Oryzias latipes: one gene and its partner. The protein of the gene in region 1 binds, or shares a complex with, the protein of each later gene. Links are inferred from orthologs where the notes say so. Each region holds a gene or a part of one and is shown on either strand. Other genes may lie near its edges.

What was found. Proteins that work in one complex are often made in the same cells at the same time.
Region 2: the proteins of bckdha (region 1) and bckdhb are in contact, whole or in part, in a crystal structure (PDB 1V16), measured with the Homo sapiens proteins. The link is inferred for Oryzias latipes from reciprocal best matches to the Homo sapiens genes BCKDHA and BCKDHB. Residues at the interface, in NP_000700.1 of Homo sapiens: Phe155, Leu185, Gly186, Lys187, Arg189, Gln190, Gly196, Cys197, Lys198, Phe202, Val203, Thr204, Ser206, Pro208, Thr211, Pro214, Gln215, Val217, Gly218, Ala219, Tyr221, Ala222, Arg225, Gly244, Asp245, Ala248, Asn251, Phe252, Thr255, Leu256; in NP_000047.1 of Homo sapiens: Pro89, Thr90, Val92, Asp117, Arg118, Phe120, Asn121, Thr122, Pro123, Cys125, Gln127, Gly128, Ile129, Gly131, Phe132, Ile134, Gly135, Ile136, Val138, Thr139, Asp158, Gln159, Asn162, Glu163, Ala165, Tyr167, Arg168, Tyr169, Arg170, Ser171.

The regions. Positions count from the first base shown.
Region 1 is NC_019871.2:5,003,460-5,011,515, reverse strand, and holds the start of bckdha (2-oxoisovalerate dehydrogenase subunit alpha, mitochondrial), read right to left. Parts: upstream 4,816-8,056; 5' UTR 4,614-4,815; coding exon 4,491-4,613; intron 2,552-4,490; coding exon 2,375-2,551; intron 2,295-2,374; coding exon 2,208-2,294; intron 2,142-2,207; coding exon 2,033-2,141; intron 1,636-2,032; coding exon 1,474-1,635; intron 1,403-1,473; coding exon 1,196-1,402; intron 1,115-1,195; coding exon 973-1,114; intron 207-972; coding exon 1-206. UniProt on the Homo sapiens protein: Together with BCKDHB forms the heterotetrameric E1 subunit of the mitochondrial branched-chain alpha-ketoacid dehydrogenase (BCKD) complex.
Region 2 is NC_019874.2:4,124,266-4,132,446, reverse strand, and holds the start of bckdhb (2-oxoisovalerate dehydrogenase subunit beta, mitochondrial), read right to left. Parts: upstream 4,882-8,181; 5' UTR 4,085-4,881; coding exon 3,898-4,084; intron 2,318-3,897; coding exon 2,240-2,317; intron 871-2,239; coding exon 802-870; intron 1-801. Other genes in the region: dual specificity protein kinase TTK, read right to left, coding at 6,926-6,994, 7,072-7,160, 7,240-7,336, 7,444-7,620, 7,707-7,781. UniProt on the Homo sapiens protein: Together with BCKDHA forms the heterotetrameric E1 subunit of the mitochondrial branched-chain alpha-ketoacid dehydrogenase (BCKD) complex.

The DNA of each region.
Region 1 (8,056 bases):
GGCGCCGCTCGGCCCGCTCAAACGCCTCCATCACGGTTTTGCGGGACTGCTTCCGCCAGCTGCGCTCGTCGTCCTCGCTCCACCAGCCGCGGGCCGTCATGTAGTGTCTCAGTCTGGAGATGGGGTGGTCCTGCTTGTCCCAGTAGTTCACCTCGTCCACCGAGCGGTAGGCAGAGCTGTCGTCGCTGGTGCTGTGGTGACCGATTCTGATGACACAGACCAAATAAATGAACCCTCGACTTCAATAACACCCACAGGTTAGCTCTTGAGTTCTCCGACACTTCATCTTTTCTTGGAATGCGTGTTTTTACTAGTCCTCTTTATAGACAGTTAAACAAATTAGAAAACGGCTCAGACTTTGCCCCGGGCGTAAAAAGTTTCAATGTGTTCAGAGAAACAAAAAGCAACAAAACTCTAATGACATCAAAAACATAAAAAACTATTTCAGGTTCTGACAGAAGAAATGTAAAAGATATTCTGAAGAACCCAAGAACAATTTTCTTCTGGGTGTTCAAAGTCAAACATAAGAAGATAAAAAATAAACAGCAGGTATCAAGACCCACTCTGATGAAAATTGTGTTGTTTTTTACGTTTCCAGGCATTTTTCTGATGATGGAGGACATACATAAAGAAAATTCAGCTTAAATTTGCATTTCTGAGTTTTTTACATTCAAGTATTATGAAAAAAATGCTCTTTGAAAAAGATTGTATTTGTTATGTAGATAACGATCCACGAACGTCTTTGTTTTCCTCGTCTGAACTGGAGTCTGACTCTAAATCCAGCTGCACGGCTGAGACTGAATTGACGAGGTCAACTTTACACGATTGGCACTGTAGACACTAAAGAGGACTTGTCGCAAGAATTTCAAATGAAACTTTGAATGTGTTTCACATAATCGCTTAAAATTACAAGCCCGGAACACTGGAGATGCTCTTCGCTCATCTTCTTGGAAGAACGGGTTCTGAACTAACCTGTAGGTCATGGCCTCGATCAGAAAGGGCTGGTTCTCGGCCACCGCCCTGCGCCGCGCTTCCTTTGTCGCATTGTACACGGCAAACACATCGTTGCCGTCAACGCGGATGGATAGCATGCCGTAACCGGGACCCCGAGCAGCTGTTCAACAACAGAACGACAGGCAGAGTGAAGCAGAAAAACAAACAAACTTAAGGGTTGTCATCCTGTGCCGAGTCTCACCAATGCCGTCTCCTCGGTACTGCTCATTGGTGGGGGTTGAGATGGCATAGCCGTTGTTGCGGCAGAAAAAGATCAGCGGGCACTCTAAGGTGGCGGAGAAGTTGAAGCCAGCATGTGCGTCCCCCTCGCTGGCCGCACCCTCGCCAAAGTAACAGATGACCGCGCGGTTCAGGTTCTCCCTCTTGAGTGCATACGCAGCTCCGGCGGCTGGGAACGACGCAGGAGAACGTCAGCGCCGGCGCATCCTCGCAGAGCGGAAAACCAAAACGGCAGCTCACCTTGAGGGATCTGCGTCGCCAGCGGAGAGGAGATGGTGACGAAGTTGAGGTCTTTGCAGCCGTAGTGGACCGGCATCTGGCGGCCCTTCCCAAGGTCATCGGCGTTGGCGTAACACTGAGCCATGAAGAGATCCAGGGGAAAACCGCGGTACATCAGCACTCCTGTTGGACACAAAGACGTTTTGTCTCACTTTGTGGCTCACATCGGCAAGTTGACTGAAGCAGTTTTATAGGTTTTTATACCATCTATTGGAATAAAAAAATACACAGAAAAGCACATTTGAGCTTAGTTTCTTCATCAGAAAAGTAGCACAAGAATATCCTTTCAAAAGAAGTATTTTCAGATGATTTGATGTTCTCTATACAAGTGAGGCAAAGTTTGCTGCAACAGCACAATGCAAACAAACAGCTACAACAGCTTGGTACGGAGCTTTGAACGAGAACTAAGCATCAAACGTCCAGTTTTGCATGGCATCCCACAGGCTGCAGAATACAAGTCTGGAATCGGGAGGGAAATTCACCTCACAAAGAGGAAGTTAACGTCTAATCTGATGCTTACCAGCTTCTCTATATTGACCAAATACCATGTCGGTTGGCTCAAGGGCAGCAGCACTGCCTATGTGTGTGCCCTCCTCTCCATAGTTGGTCATGTAGAAGGAGATTCGTCCCTGAAAGGCAAACGTCGGTTTAAACTTTCACTTTAGGCGGTTCGAAACGCAGGAAGGTCCGGGTACCTGTCTCTGGGACTCGTAAAGAATCCGGTCCATTGTGTTCAGCATCGTCATCTTCTGATAAAAGTTCAAAACTGTCTCCTTGGAGAGCTGAGAACGAAATAGAAAAAAAACACTCCAGTTTTAGCTCATAGAGACATCCTCTCTGGTTAATTGGGAAGCTGGCAGACCTGAGGGTCTTGAGAAGGGTTGATGATGTTCCCCTGTCTGTCCATCACACGATACACCGGGATCCCAGAGATGACATTGGGCTGGATGAATTCCAGGTGGTCCACGAAGTCCGCCGAGGCTCCAGGGAACTGAGGCTTCTCCAAGGACGAGTCAAAAGGCTGCTGGCGGTGCACAGCCTGGCGGGTTCAATACCGGCCGTTATTGATCATTGATAAATGATTGCTGCGCTTTCCGCATGCATGTCTGTCTAATCTGCTTCAACACCAAACAACGCCTTTTTTTTTTTAAAGGCTACAAAACATGACCTTTGCTAAGAATATTTTCAGTGCTCTTTAGCTCCGTCCTCGCTGAACTTTGAAGAACTGCTGATGTAATCAACCGTGATGTTTGTTGCTTTGCATTTTTTTACGCCTATGTCAGTCCCGAGAAAAGGTCATGAACTTAGCTTCAAACGTTTATCTTAGAAAATCTTTTCAGAGAAATTATGTACTTAAGGAGAATGCTTTAAGTAAGTTATACAATTAATTTCTAATCAAACTGTTAGCTCCAAAATGTGAAGAATTTCAGGTTATTGTCTCCTGGAAATTTGTATTTTATAAAAGAAATTAAATAATTAAAGTTACAGCTGCAAGCTATAAATACAACTTAATTTATTTATTTATTTAATAGTACCATAGACTCTCAGTCGTATATGTGGAAACACTAGAAAAGTTATTTTCTGTTCTTTTAGCCAACTTATATTCTTTACTTTTTAATACTTTTACTTCTTTCATTTAATATTTTTTTACTACTGTTATTTTTGTATTTTTCTATTTCTGCCTTTTTAAAAACAAAATGTATGACTTTTTTTCAACTCTTATATTCTCTTGGCACTGCATCTTTTATTGTTTTGTGTTTTTCTACGATTGATTGGACTATTCATATATGAATGAATGAATGATTGAATGGATGGATTCTGTGTATTTGTGTTTCCTGCAAATATTTACGTTGATTTTTAATTACTAAACAATTGGGTATGTTCTTATTAAGTAGAAAAGATCTACATCAAAATATGATGCAAGAAAGGCCAAATGAGGAGGTTTAGGCATCTCTTTTGGATGCCTCCCTGGTGAGGTATTCCAGGTATGTTCCACCAGGGTTAGGTCCTGGAGAATACCCAGGAATACCCAGGACAGACGGTCTCTTGGCTGGCACCTTTGTGGGGGAGGAGAACCAGGAAGTTTCTGTTGTGAGGGAGCTCTGGGCATCTCTGCTCAGAATGTTGCCTGGGCAACCTGACTCCAGATCAGCAGGAGACGATGTATAATAAATGCACCACTGGTTCCCTCTCATACACTGTTTCATTACTACTTGGTAAAACATCACATCATAATGCGAATATAATGCACCTGGTTGTACATTAATTACAAATTATTGTGCTATTTTCCAAATTGTGATCTTTTTAAAGTGTAGCCAAGTTGGCACATGTTCTTCACTAAAAACCCGTGAGATTCAGCCACACAAACTTCCCCGATGAGTACCAAATTAGACCATTTAAAATAATATATGTTTATTTGGGTGCACTGAAAGTGGTCACCGCGCAGGATGCCTTCCCACACCCCCGGCGTCCACCAATAGAATTGAAGCTAGCTAAAATGCTAACCGGCTGGGTAAACCAAAACAAATACACATTACGCCTCCCTGACACCAGCATTGCCGTTAGGGTTAATGCATAAAGTTTTACTAAAATATAGACAGCTTTGCGTCAATCTGTCGAGCACGTGACTACATTAATGAAGTATTATTTTATGAATAAAACACTTGTTTGTGAACTCTCACTAGCATGACTAGCTAGCTAACTAATCATCGCGATAACTTAAATTAAAGATGCGTTCCTCTTTACTTTTAGTAGCAACATAATGTGCATTAACCTTCTCGTAACAAGTCACTTACAGATTATATTATAAGATTATCTGCTGTGACAACGCGGAAATGATACATTTTGAATGATCTCTCTGTTGCTAGCAAGACACTAGCAGATAACCTCAGCAGGACCTGCTAGCTTCATCATCGACCTTGCAGGTTATTTATTGGGAGTCACCCAAAACACAACCAATCCAACAGTTTCAAACTTACGCTGATTCTGAAGGCTCTGCGATGAAGGAGCCAGGGTGCCTTTAGTCCAGCTGTTTGACGAACAGCATGGAAACACAGCCCGTACATTTTACCCATCATGCTGCTAACAACAACGGCCGCCATCGATGTGGACTCTCGACGGAGGAGACAATCGGTTGAAAAAAACGGAATAGATTTGCACGAGCTACACCGACTGACTCTTAAATGTTATATACTCTCATAAATAATCACACATCCCAGGCCCGGTCGCTTTAAAAGAGCCGCCAAGTTAGACACAATATGCACTAAGCTGTGACGTTTTCAAAATAAGACTAGTTTTATTTTGAAATAAAACTAGTTTTATTTTGAAATAAACTAATTTTGTTTGGATTATTTGGATTATTCAAATGTATTTTTTATTAATTTCATTTCATTATTCATACTTCCCACCTCCTTTGATATGTGTGTGTGTGTGTGTGTGTGTGTGTTAAAACAATTTTTTTTATCATAAACATACATGGACTTTATGATCATTTTCATGTAATTAGTAATCAAATCCTCCTGTGACCTATAAAGTATTAAAAGGTGTTAGATTAAGTAAAAACAAATTTAGTAATCTCAATGATGACTAAAATAAAACTGCTTCAAGAAAAGTACTTTCGTTTTAAGTAATTGTGATGGTAAGGTATAAATAATTGATCAGAAGTTAAGAACTGGATAACGATAAAAGAGTAGTTTTAATTATTACAAAGACAGAAAAATTAAGCAAAGCATCATGGGGGGGGGGGGGGGGCTATGTAAATTGGCTTCACTCCCATTCCTTTTCAAGCAATTAAATAAACTACGTTTGAAAAACCTAATAAATAATTTTGTGCCATATGCTGTATGAATAAGTTTGAGTCAGCTTTATTGTGAAATACGCGCTATACAGCACAGATGAAATTGCATTCCTTCATGGTGCAAACAGCTATTATAGATGTAAAAAATAATAATATACAAACTATACAAACAAGTCATATTTACAAAAATAATCAAATACAGAGAGTAAGTTTGGGACATGGTTTGGTATGAGTGCTAATTTGTCTATTTCTGATTAAGAGTAAGTATTATGGAATTCTTCATATGTATGCGGATTTATGTGTAAGTAAATGTATTTTCCAATCAATTCATGACTAATTATCCTACATCTGTACAGTTCTGTTTTTATATCCTAAAAAGAGGGTAAATGTGTATCCAAATAGGGAAATAAAAATTCAGCAAAATGAACGTTTTTAGCACTAATTCATTTAAGTAGAAGTAAAAAATGTATTTTCCTGAATAAATGTTACTTTTATTTTAGTACCTGGTTGCAATCTGCAGGAAGAAAATAAGAATAAAAGCATTTATTTTTTACAGATGACAACTTCATTTCTTTTTTTATAATTTTCATTAAACAGACAAATAAAAAATGAACTGTGTTTCTAAAATGTATTCATTTTTTTCTGTGTTGTATGTGCTGTGCCAACTGTGACAATGGAATCACTTGCATGTGCAGTCCAGGTGTGATGCCATCCTTGAGCTTGAACATGTGGAGAAGCTTTATTTTGTCAGAATGGATCATAGGGTTAAAAGAAGAAGATGCAGGGAAGGAAGATTTCTGCTGATGACAAAGGAACAACGTTTGTTGACAGCAACGCCACAGGAGCGGTGGCCTCTACTCACTGCCGATCTGGTTTTACCAGATCGGCAGCTGTGGAGGGAGCCATGCGGGATCCCAGCTGAGGAAGTGGAGCACCTGAAGCACCTGAAGGTTCAAGGTGAGCGGCTGAGGTCACCTGCTGTTAGGTACCTGAAATCAGATTGGTGTGCTCTTTTTGGATTTCCTGTAAACTATTTTCTTTTTTTTTAAATGTGTTAAAGTCAAGTAACAGCTGAGTGCCTCCATCCAACAGCAGCACATGTAACATTTAACAGAGACAGGTGAGCAGCGACCCTCTGTCTGTGTCCGGGGCGCGGTGTTCTGACCTCGGTGGCTCGTTTCCGAGAAAGACACGTCGTCTTTCACAGGAGGGCTGCCCAGGCCCGAGGTGCTGAATTTCTAAACCATTTGGGTGGAGCTTTGGAGAAGACGGCCAAGTGACAACATTCCCTTGTGTGTTTGCATTTTGTTCATCTATTTTTTTGATTTGACCGGCCCACAGTGATTCAGATCCAACACTGTTTTCATGAACACTACAACATTATTTCTTACTAAGACCTATTCAAACATTGTGATTTGTTTAATTGTTTACAATGAAATAATTGAGCAAAAGTGCAGGTTTAACTTTGAAACAGCCACAGAATGTCTCAAACAAATGAAACGTTTCAAAAATGAAAGCAGAAACTGTGAAAATAGAAAAGAATCCCTACATGTGTCTCTGCAATAAAAAAAAAAACAAATTTTTAGCCACTGAAAAATTTAGGCAAATTATTTGACGGTAAATCATCTTGTTGAAGCAAAATCAAAGAGACAGAAACCTTCAAATGAACATCCAGGCTGTCTCGTTGATTTAGGCCACGATACAAAGTTGAGAATTTTGCTGTTTATTTTTTTGTTTATTTAAGAAAAGTTAGATCCTGAAGGTCTGAACATTCTGAAACTCTCCTGCTGGTCTGCGTGGGTCCTCAAGACACTTCAATAAGGAAAAGAAAAACCAGTTAAGGTTTATTGGCGATACAGGAAATGGTGCGTGATATACAAGTCCATTATCTCTGACCGTTTTCCTCAATGACGTCTTGCGTGTTTGGGATAAGCTCAGATCATGGCTTCACATCTTAGAAAAACTAAGAATTTCCTTGACCAAGACTGAGCACCACAGTAGGTCTTTCCTTCCTGTGGCAATACAATTGTATAATTCCTCTTTGAAAACCAGAAAACTTCATAAAACCACCAGACAGCCTTTTACATTGATTTTAGAATAGAATAGAATAGAATAGAATAGAATAGAATAGAATAGAATAGAATAAAATAGATAATCTTTATTTCTGTAGTACTTTTCACAGAAAGCATCACAAAGTGCTTTACAACAAGATGGCATAAAATCAAACCAAACACAGATATCAAATATTAACAAGGCCTACTGAAAATCTAAATAAAATTTAAAAAAAATACTGAGTAAAATCAACTAAAAGCTCTTCTGAATAAAAACGTCTTGACTCTCAAAGGAATCCATCTGACGCGGCGGGAGGGAGCTCCAAAGACGAGGAGCGACAGCTTGAAAAGGGAGACCTCCTCCATTCTTAAAGTGGGTTTTTGGAACGCCTAAGAGATGTTGGTCGGAAGACCTCAAGGATTGGGCATAAGAGTATGAGGAGTTAGACGTAAGTCGAGGTTTGACCATGCAAGGCTCTAAAAACCAGTGGTTCAATTTTAAAATCAATTTGAAATTGAATAGGCAATCATTTTACTGTTGAATGTGACTGTTTGTATTTTTTAAATTGTTTATTTCTATGCTTCCAGCTGATCAGAGTTACTGTAGCTTTGGTGGTGGAAGACATTTTGTTTTTCTTTTCATTTCCACCTTGTTACATTTGCTGTTGTTGGCAAGTTCAGCTGCAAAGCAGGGTTA
Region 2 (8,181 bases), on another chromosome or scaffold:
TTTTATTAAAAGGATCATGAATTAATAAAACCTTATCATAAGGCTTTACAATAAAAGAAAGATCAAAGAAGTTTAAAGAAAAAGAGTTATTGTGGCCTCACAAGAAAAGGTTTGGCGACCTGCTCCATCATCCATGTGGTGTTTGAAGATTTGTTGTTTTTCCTTCTTCCTATTGTTCAAACTCCACATGAACGCAGCATTTTCCTAAGTTTTACATGAGGTAAATCAAGCCGTTGGTGCAATTGGCTCTAAATTGAGAACAAAAGTTTTTCCCTAAAAACTCTAAAATGCTCTGTTTTAAAATAGAACTCTCTATCCAAATGTTTTCATCCAGATTCCATGGTATTTCTTTCTCATCCACACATCTGCTCCTGGTCCGGCCCTTCTATCCAATTTTAGAACCCCATGTGGCCCGTGAGTCAAAATAATTGCCCCCCCCCGCATTAATATCTTCATTTTCCTCGTCAGAACTGCCATCTGGCTCAAAACCGTACGCGACGCTTTTTTAGGGGTTGTTTTTTGTAAATGTTAGCTTGGGGTTGTGAGGGGCTGTAAGCTAGCTGAAAAGAGTGCAAACGAAGGAATGATGGGATATCAGTGTCGGGCTACTTCTGCGCCAACAGTTCCGCCCACAACTCAGAGGCAAATTTCTGATGAACTACGGCTGCTCTTCAGAAAATAGGTTTGAAAAAATGACACAGACTTTTGGCTAAAAGCGGCATAATCCTAATTAAAAGAACACTTACAATAGATACAAATATACGGTAGCTGTACATTTAGTCAGGCAGACGGCATCTTTACCGTATTTGTCTCTCAGGCCAACAGTGCATCGGAAGACTCCGCCAAAGGCAACATCTTCACCAAAGATAACTGCAAAACAAACACACAAACCCAAGTCAGCCACTCTGAGAGTTATTGAAGACACAAAAGGAGGGAAAAGTCATAAGAATAGGCAACTTGTGCTTCCTCGACATAGGCAAACACCTCTCAGCTTCAAATAGAAACAAATTAAACACTAATTTCGGCATTTTTATGCTTTAAAATTCCCTATTCCATTTCAGTTATTGGTTACAGCATTTCAGCAAAACATCTTTATCTTTATCTCCTCAGAAAACATATTGGATGAATGTCTGTAAGGATTTCAGGTCCTTTTGATGAGATATTTGGATGTTTAGCAAAATTTAGGCTTCTTTTTCTTTTTCTGATCCTATTTTTAAGATTTTTATGGATATTTCAAAATCCTTATAACACCTTTTCCTACCATTAACCCTAAAACACTTTGGCTATAAAAGGTTCCACCATCACTTTGGCCTGGTCATTTTTACCTGATATAAACAAAAAGTCCTCGTCATAAATAGTAGTTTAAAACATGATAGATTCGAGTGGTTTTCTATTATTTTTAACTGTGGTATGTGTAACAAGATGAAAAAGAAAAACATAGGCAGTTCCTAAAGACATGCTCAAAAATTACTGCAAAATTAGGAATTTGTGGGGGGAAAATTCCTAAAAAATGACAAAAATCATACAAGAATGGGACAACTGCGATAAAAACTGAAGAAAAGCTTCTGACAGGTGTTTTAATGCTTCAAGTATTTACAAAATATCAGACAACAGTAATGATTTTCAATCCAGAATGATAGACATTATTGTTCTGTTTTAATTCTTCAGGATATTCAATGTCTTACATAATACCATGTGTGCATCGCTTTTATCTGCAATAAGTCAGACTTTATTCACAAAAACTCAGCACTGTTTAGTTGTAAAACAGAAAACACAAACAATAAACTCCCTTTTCCTGTTTATTATGTCAAAGCATACTACATATTGGGTACACAGGCTCCTGACTACTGTTACTGTAGTGCTCCAACAATCCATCAAGCACTGCGGCTTTGTAGTTTATCAAAATCCTACTAAAGCATTTTGATAGATTTTTGAGAGCTGTGTACCACAGAAAATCCTTGAAGTACAACCAGGATTCATACATAAGACACATCGGATTATAAAGCGAACGGTCAATTTTGGAAAATATTAATTGTGAACTAAGGTCCAAAAAATTTATGGTAAATTATTTTATCTCTGAGTTAATTTATGTGAATTTAATAAATGCCCATTTTTGTAAATTCCAACTAAACTGAGTGGCTTTAGCTTGATAAACTGTACTGAACTGATGGCATCCATATACAGCAGAACCCTGACTCCTTTACCTTGTAATAGTCCATTTGCTGTCTCTTCGCCTTACCTGCAGTGGGATCACTGGAGAGGGTGTTGTCCAAGGCACTTGTAATCGACTGGAACAAGTTCATCTTCTGAGTTTCACCTAGCAATGCAAACAAGAGTCAACTCAAAGAAGTGTCAAAATGAATCTTGGAACAGATGATGATCGCCAACGTCATAGAACTCAATATAGAACTAGAAGGAGCTGCATTTCCAGAAAAAAAAGCAGGGTTGAATGCTATGTTGATGAATGAAAATGAAACTTAAAGGGTAATAATTGGCAAAAAAAAAAAAAGTGAAAACAGCACAATAACAAAAACGATATTTTTGTGAAATATATTGGGTCATTGCTTTAAAGCATTTAACCCATTATTTTCCTGTTTCTCATTATTTGTTTATAATCTTCCACCATTTTTCTTTGCGCTTCACTCTTACAATATTTCTGCTATTTAAACCATTCTACTATTAAAATGTTCAGCTCTTTCAGCTTTTTCCAGTTTTGACCTTTGGTCCTTCAAATCCTTGTCTTTTCAAGATATTTCAGGATTTCTGCCTCCATTTAAATCAATGGGGAATCCTTGGTGCAGAAGCTCGTTGGTTCGGTACCCGGCGCTGGCATTTTTCACAAAAATATATTTCTTGTTATTGTGCTGCTTTCACTTTATTCATGGTCAACTTTGATCATTTCTTTATTTAATTATCCCCCCCATTATTACCCTTTAAGTTTCATTTTCATTCAGCAATATAGCATTCAACCCTGCTTTTTCTTCTGGAAATGCAGCTCCTTCTAGTTTCTTATATAATGCTCACAGTAAACTTCTATATGTGAGTCGTGTGACCAGGAAAACAAAACAAAGAGTTTGAATCAGAAGAACAAAACACTGATGTTCTGATCAGAAAAACACAAAAGTTTGCAGAGTACAAACTGTCGATGAAGAGGAATATGGGAGGAAGAGAGGAAGGACTTGAATCATTCCTTAGGAGGGAATTCAGCCAATCACAATTCAGAAACTGTACAGAGTCCTTAGGAAGTGCTGGGTTCTGGATATTTTTGATTTAATAATGACAGGAACCTGTCAGAAATTTGAATATTTGGCCCACGGGCCGGACTTTGGACATGCCTATAGTAAGTGATTGATGAAAACAACTCATTTAAACAGTTTAATAGGAGTTTGTCCTTTTTGTTTAAAGTCATTAGACTTGTTTCTATGCAGAGGATGTGTTGTAATTTTTCTGTTATTAATTAAAAGGTATTTTTGTAAATATAAACTAAACCTTCACTTGTTGCTCTGAGCCTGTGCTTGGCTGATTTGTTAGTGATTAATAATATTAAATCATGTCCATACATTGCACGTTAATTTATATATTTAATTAAATGTATCATACAATGATATTTAAATCCTCAAAATTAGAGATTTTGTTTCGACAATAAAAGTCGAAAGACTGTGTCTTGGGTTTAAGCAGAATGATCAAGAATATTGATAAAACTTTAGGTTTTTCTCGTCAGAAATAGTTGCATTTCCACTTTATCATTGATAATATAATTTAATCGCTTCTTTGCAGTTTTTGTGAAGTCTGTAAAAAGACGTTTCATCATTGTAAACTCTGTTGCCGTTGTTAGGTGATGCTAGCTGACGGCGCTAGCCGGCGGTTGGTTGGTAAGGGGAGGAGCCACTCACTCACCATACTGCGTCGGGACGGGGTCAGGCTGGTAGGTAAAGTGGGCTGCATGTCTCCGTTGTGTTTTAGAACGAGAGCTGCAGCTCGGAGAAAGTTTGAGCAAAGCTGCTCCTAAGGAGCCACTAGTCCCGGTACCGACGGAGAGTCTCGAGTTTGCACCTCGGATGAAGAATCGTACGGCAGCCGCCATCACTGTTGATGTCAGTGACCAGGAAGGACAAGCGAGAGAAGTGACAAAGATCCTGTGTTGTTGGAAAGATGGCACCACTCGGTACAGAAAACATGGAACACTCTAATTTGAAAAATATGGACAAAATAGATAGCACACTTTGTTTAATGACACATTGTCCTAACTGTGGTTATTACGATTAGAGTTTTAAAAATGCAACAACATTGTAATAATAATATAGTAGCTATATCCTAAATAAATGTTATACACAGTGCAGCAAAAAAGAAAAAAAAAATAACCCAAAAAGCAATGGCCAATGCGAGATTTTAAAATGGTCTAAATTTCTTGGTCAACACGTTTTTTAAAGCAGACTAACTAGAGGTAAAATAATTACATTAATAAATGTTTTATTGTAATGTGTGGGAGCAGAGTGAGCGCTCTTTCTTAAATTGAAGCGCACCGTGTTGAAGCGACGATGCCTGTGATTGGTTAAAAGAGAGGGCGGTGTAAGCGGTGGATGGAAGTCTGTTTATTTTCATAAACAAAATGCACTTGAAGAAATACGGTGTCCTTTCAGTGTTACACTGTATTTTTAAAACTAACGAAGAACTTTGCAGTACAGGAAAAGCTCGTTAGAATCCAATAACATGAGTCTCATTTTCCAAATGATTTCTTTATTTTCTGCCCGAAAAGACTCACTTCTCTAAAGGAAAAAACGAACGAACAAACAAATAAAGATTGGACCATAGACTTGTTTTTACCGTCTATGGATAAAACTGATGCCACTCAAATGACAAAAAATGTACTGAATTTCAGCCAGAATAAAATTAAAATAAAAGATAAAATTGATCCAAAAACACTTGGGAAAAAATTTGCTTTGGAAGGTTTTTCCCCCACTATTTTAGTTACAGTGCTTCAATATTTTTCTGTTATTGTATTTCATAATTTTTCTCATGATGAACATATTTAAAGAAAATTAAAATGCATTTGAGTATTTCTTTATTCAAATAGAAAAAAAATGCGGTTTGAAAAAGCTTGTAGCTGTGACAATAAAGCTCCAAACAGCAAGCTTCCTGCTCCGCTCCATTCTGATGCATCCCCTTGTAGATCCACGGACGTCTTTGTTTTCCTCTGGAATCTGGATCAAAGCTGTATTGCTGAATACCTCCAATACTACTCACCGTTTTTGTTGCACCCATAGTCTTGTGTTGGGGGTGTGAGGGGCTGTAAGCCTTCAGGAGAGTGTAAACATGATGTCAAATGGGGGGGGCTTACTCCATGCCAACAGTCAGGCCAATTCAGAGGTGAATTTCTGGTGAACTCCTGCCGCTCTGCAGAAACTACTTTCCAGAGAATGATAGTTTTTTTTTTACATTTTTATTATTTTGGCTAAAAAGACCATAATCATAACTAAAAGATCACCGGGAACGCTTTAAAAATAGATCTAAAGATGAACGAAGTGGGACTTTAATGAAATACAATCATTTCCCCTTTCTGTGTTAAAGCCGTTTCTTTTTGGATGTTTTGCAGCATGGAATGACTTGGAATGCTGGCTTAGTTAACAGCCTGTTTTTGTGTGTGGGGCCAATGTAATTGTAATTTTTTTTAGTATAGTTTTGGGCTTGGACTGCACATCCTGATACAAAAAAACTCAAAGGTATCCCTTCTTTTCTATTTTGTGTGTTTTTAAACTGCCAGTTAGACTGGTTGCAACAGTTCCAAAACTTAGAATATGACTTTTACTGTGTTGTTTTGGGTACCAGTTTTACCGGGCCTTATTTTGAAAAAAACAAAACAAAAACATGTTAATTCTACATTGAAATAAGAGATTATACTGCTGTTTCTAACATGCACATCCTTTTATTTTCATGATAATGCATTTCATGGAATATGACTGAATTATGCTGTGAATGAGTTCAAATGTAATGTCAAATTTACATCAACATTTTTTCAGGTATTTATGAAAAAGTTACCCCCCCCCCCCCAAATTTTACTTTTGGCCTTGTATTATCCTTAGATATTACAAACACATTTCACCCTATGGGCAAATCTGACCCCAGGGATATTTGCCTGTAGAAAATGATTTACATAAAATTGTTAACCACGTTTTTGTGTTAGGTACATTGTTCACTTGTTAAATACATAAATAGCTCCCTAATAATGAAACCTATCAGGGAGTTGACCTGTTCTCTAGCGCCACCATCAGGCCAGACTTTTAGTTTTAGAGTTAGTTGATCTTGGAAATCTTTCACCCAAAGCTTTTCTATTTTGGGGCACACATTCATGACTCTCACAGAATAAAGCATATTGACTGATGTCGGTGACCTCCCTTTCCTCTTAAAAGCATTTATTTACTTATTTCTATCTCCTTTTTGTGACATTTTTGTGGTCAGTCACTATAAAGTCTCACTCACCCCTCCTCTTTTATTATCCAGGCTTGGGACCGGCAGTGGCAGGATTCGAGTTTTTATGTTTTTTTTTAATGTTTTTGAGAATATTGAGTTTATAACATTTTGAAAAAATTAAGGGAAAAAGAACAGGTGATGTGCAGAATCCTTTGCTTCGATCATGTCAAAATCCTAACCATGGAACGAGGAGCACAAAGGGTCAGCAACCATTGGTAATGGTATGAATGAAACTCTGTAGGATACACAGTTTGTTTATTTCTCCATGTTGTGTTTTGCTTAAAATTTTTAACATCTAAAGTAAAATAAAAAAGTAAACATCACTCAGAAGGACAACTTCAGAAAAATGTTAATATACAAACATGAACATGTTGGTTCTTTCAGCAGAACACCTAGTGGTCACTAGGAGGTCAGAAAAGAAGAAGAAGAAACGTCCACGTCACACTTTCCAGAATCTTTAAGTGGATGACTTTGCACATTCTGCAACATCCAGCCTCCTGCCACTGCTGCACATTTTTGCCAAATTCTGTTTAAGAGAGAAGAAAAGTTAAGGATTTCAAGAGGACCATCTGTGAGATTACGTTTCATCCAAACAGATCTCACATTTGCAGCTCGGATGATGCTGTTTGGAGACTGCAGAGCGGCCAGGTCCGTCAGGATCCTCTGAAGGTCCCCATTAGATGGATGCTCTGCTGAAATGCAGGTCAGGTTTAAACTTACATTGGCAGATTGGTTTTTCTGGTAATATTTCCTTCTCAGAATCAGATGTACCTGGTTCAGGTGAGGCCTGAGGCTTCAGCTGGAGATAGGGATGATCCAGCAGCTCTACAATCGAGATCCTCTCTCTAGGGTTTCTTACTAAGCACCTCTGGAAAAAACAAAAGAAACACAACATTTGACCTAAATATCAAGTCATTCTAGAGAGCAAAATGTCTTACTCTAGCTGTTTAGGTACCAGTCTCACTTCACATTTACCTTTAGAACATCCAGCAAGTCCCTCTCTGAAATATCAGGAAACTCAATCTTGTGGGAGGGGTCAATGATGGCGTGCAGCTTGGCCATCTGGTTTGTGATGCTTTGAAATGGAGTCTTCCCGTAAGTCATGCAATAAAGGATGCAGCCGAGCGACCACACGTCTCCTTTGGGGCTTATCTGTATGACAATTAAGAGTCAGTATTCCCAGTTGCTCGGTTTACTGTCATCAAACCTGTTAGATCAGCTTCAAAGATGGCAAGAACCTTTGAGCGAGCTTTGCCAGACTGGGAGGAAGTATCTTTGATGGCTTCAGGGGGCATGTAGTTCAGGGTTCCCACCTGTGGACGGGAAACAATTAGGTAATGGAGATGGGGGGCAACTTCTTCAAGAGATTTTTACCATCTGTTGACCTAGATAAAGTATTGATAAACAAGGTGACTGATGATAGTGTACATCATATTCTAAATTGGTGGCTCAGGAGGTTGAGCTGGTCGTCCAATGATCGAAGGGTCGGCGGTTCGATCTCCGCTCCCCCCAGTCAAAACTGTCGTCGTGTCCTTGGGCAAGACACTTCCCCCTCCCTGCCTCCAGGGTGGCTTCACTGGTGTGTAAATGCGTATGAATGTCCGGGTGATGGTCAGAGGGGGCGTAGGCGTGAACTGGCAGCCACGCCTCTGTCATCACCAAGTATACATGGAGTGAATGACTAATGGATACATTGTATGTACAGCTGTGACG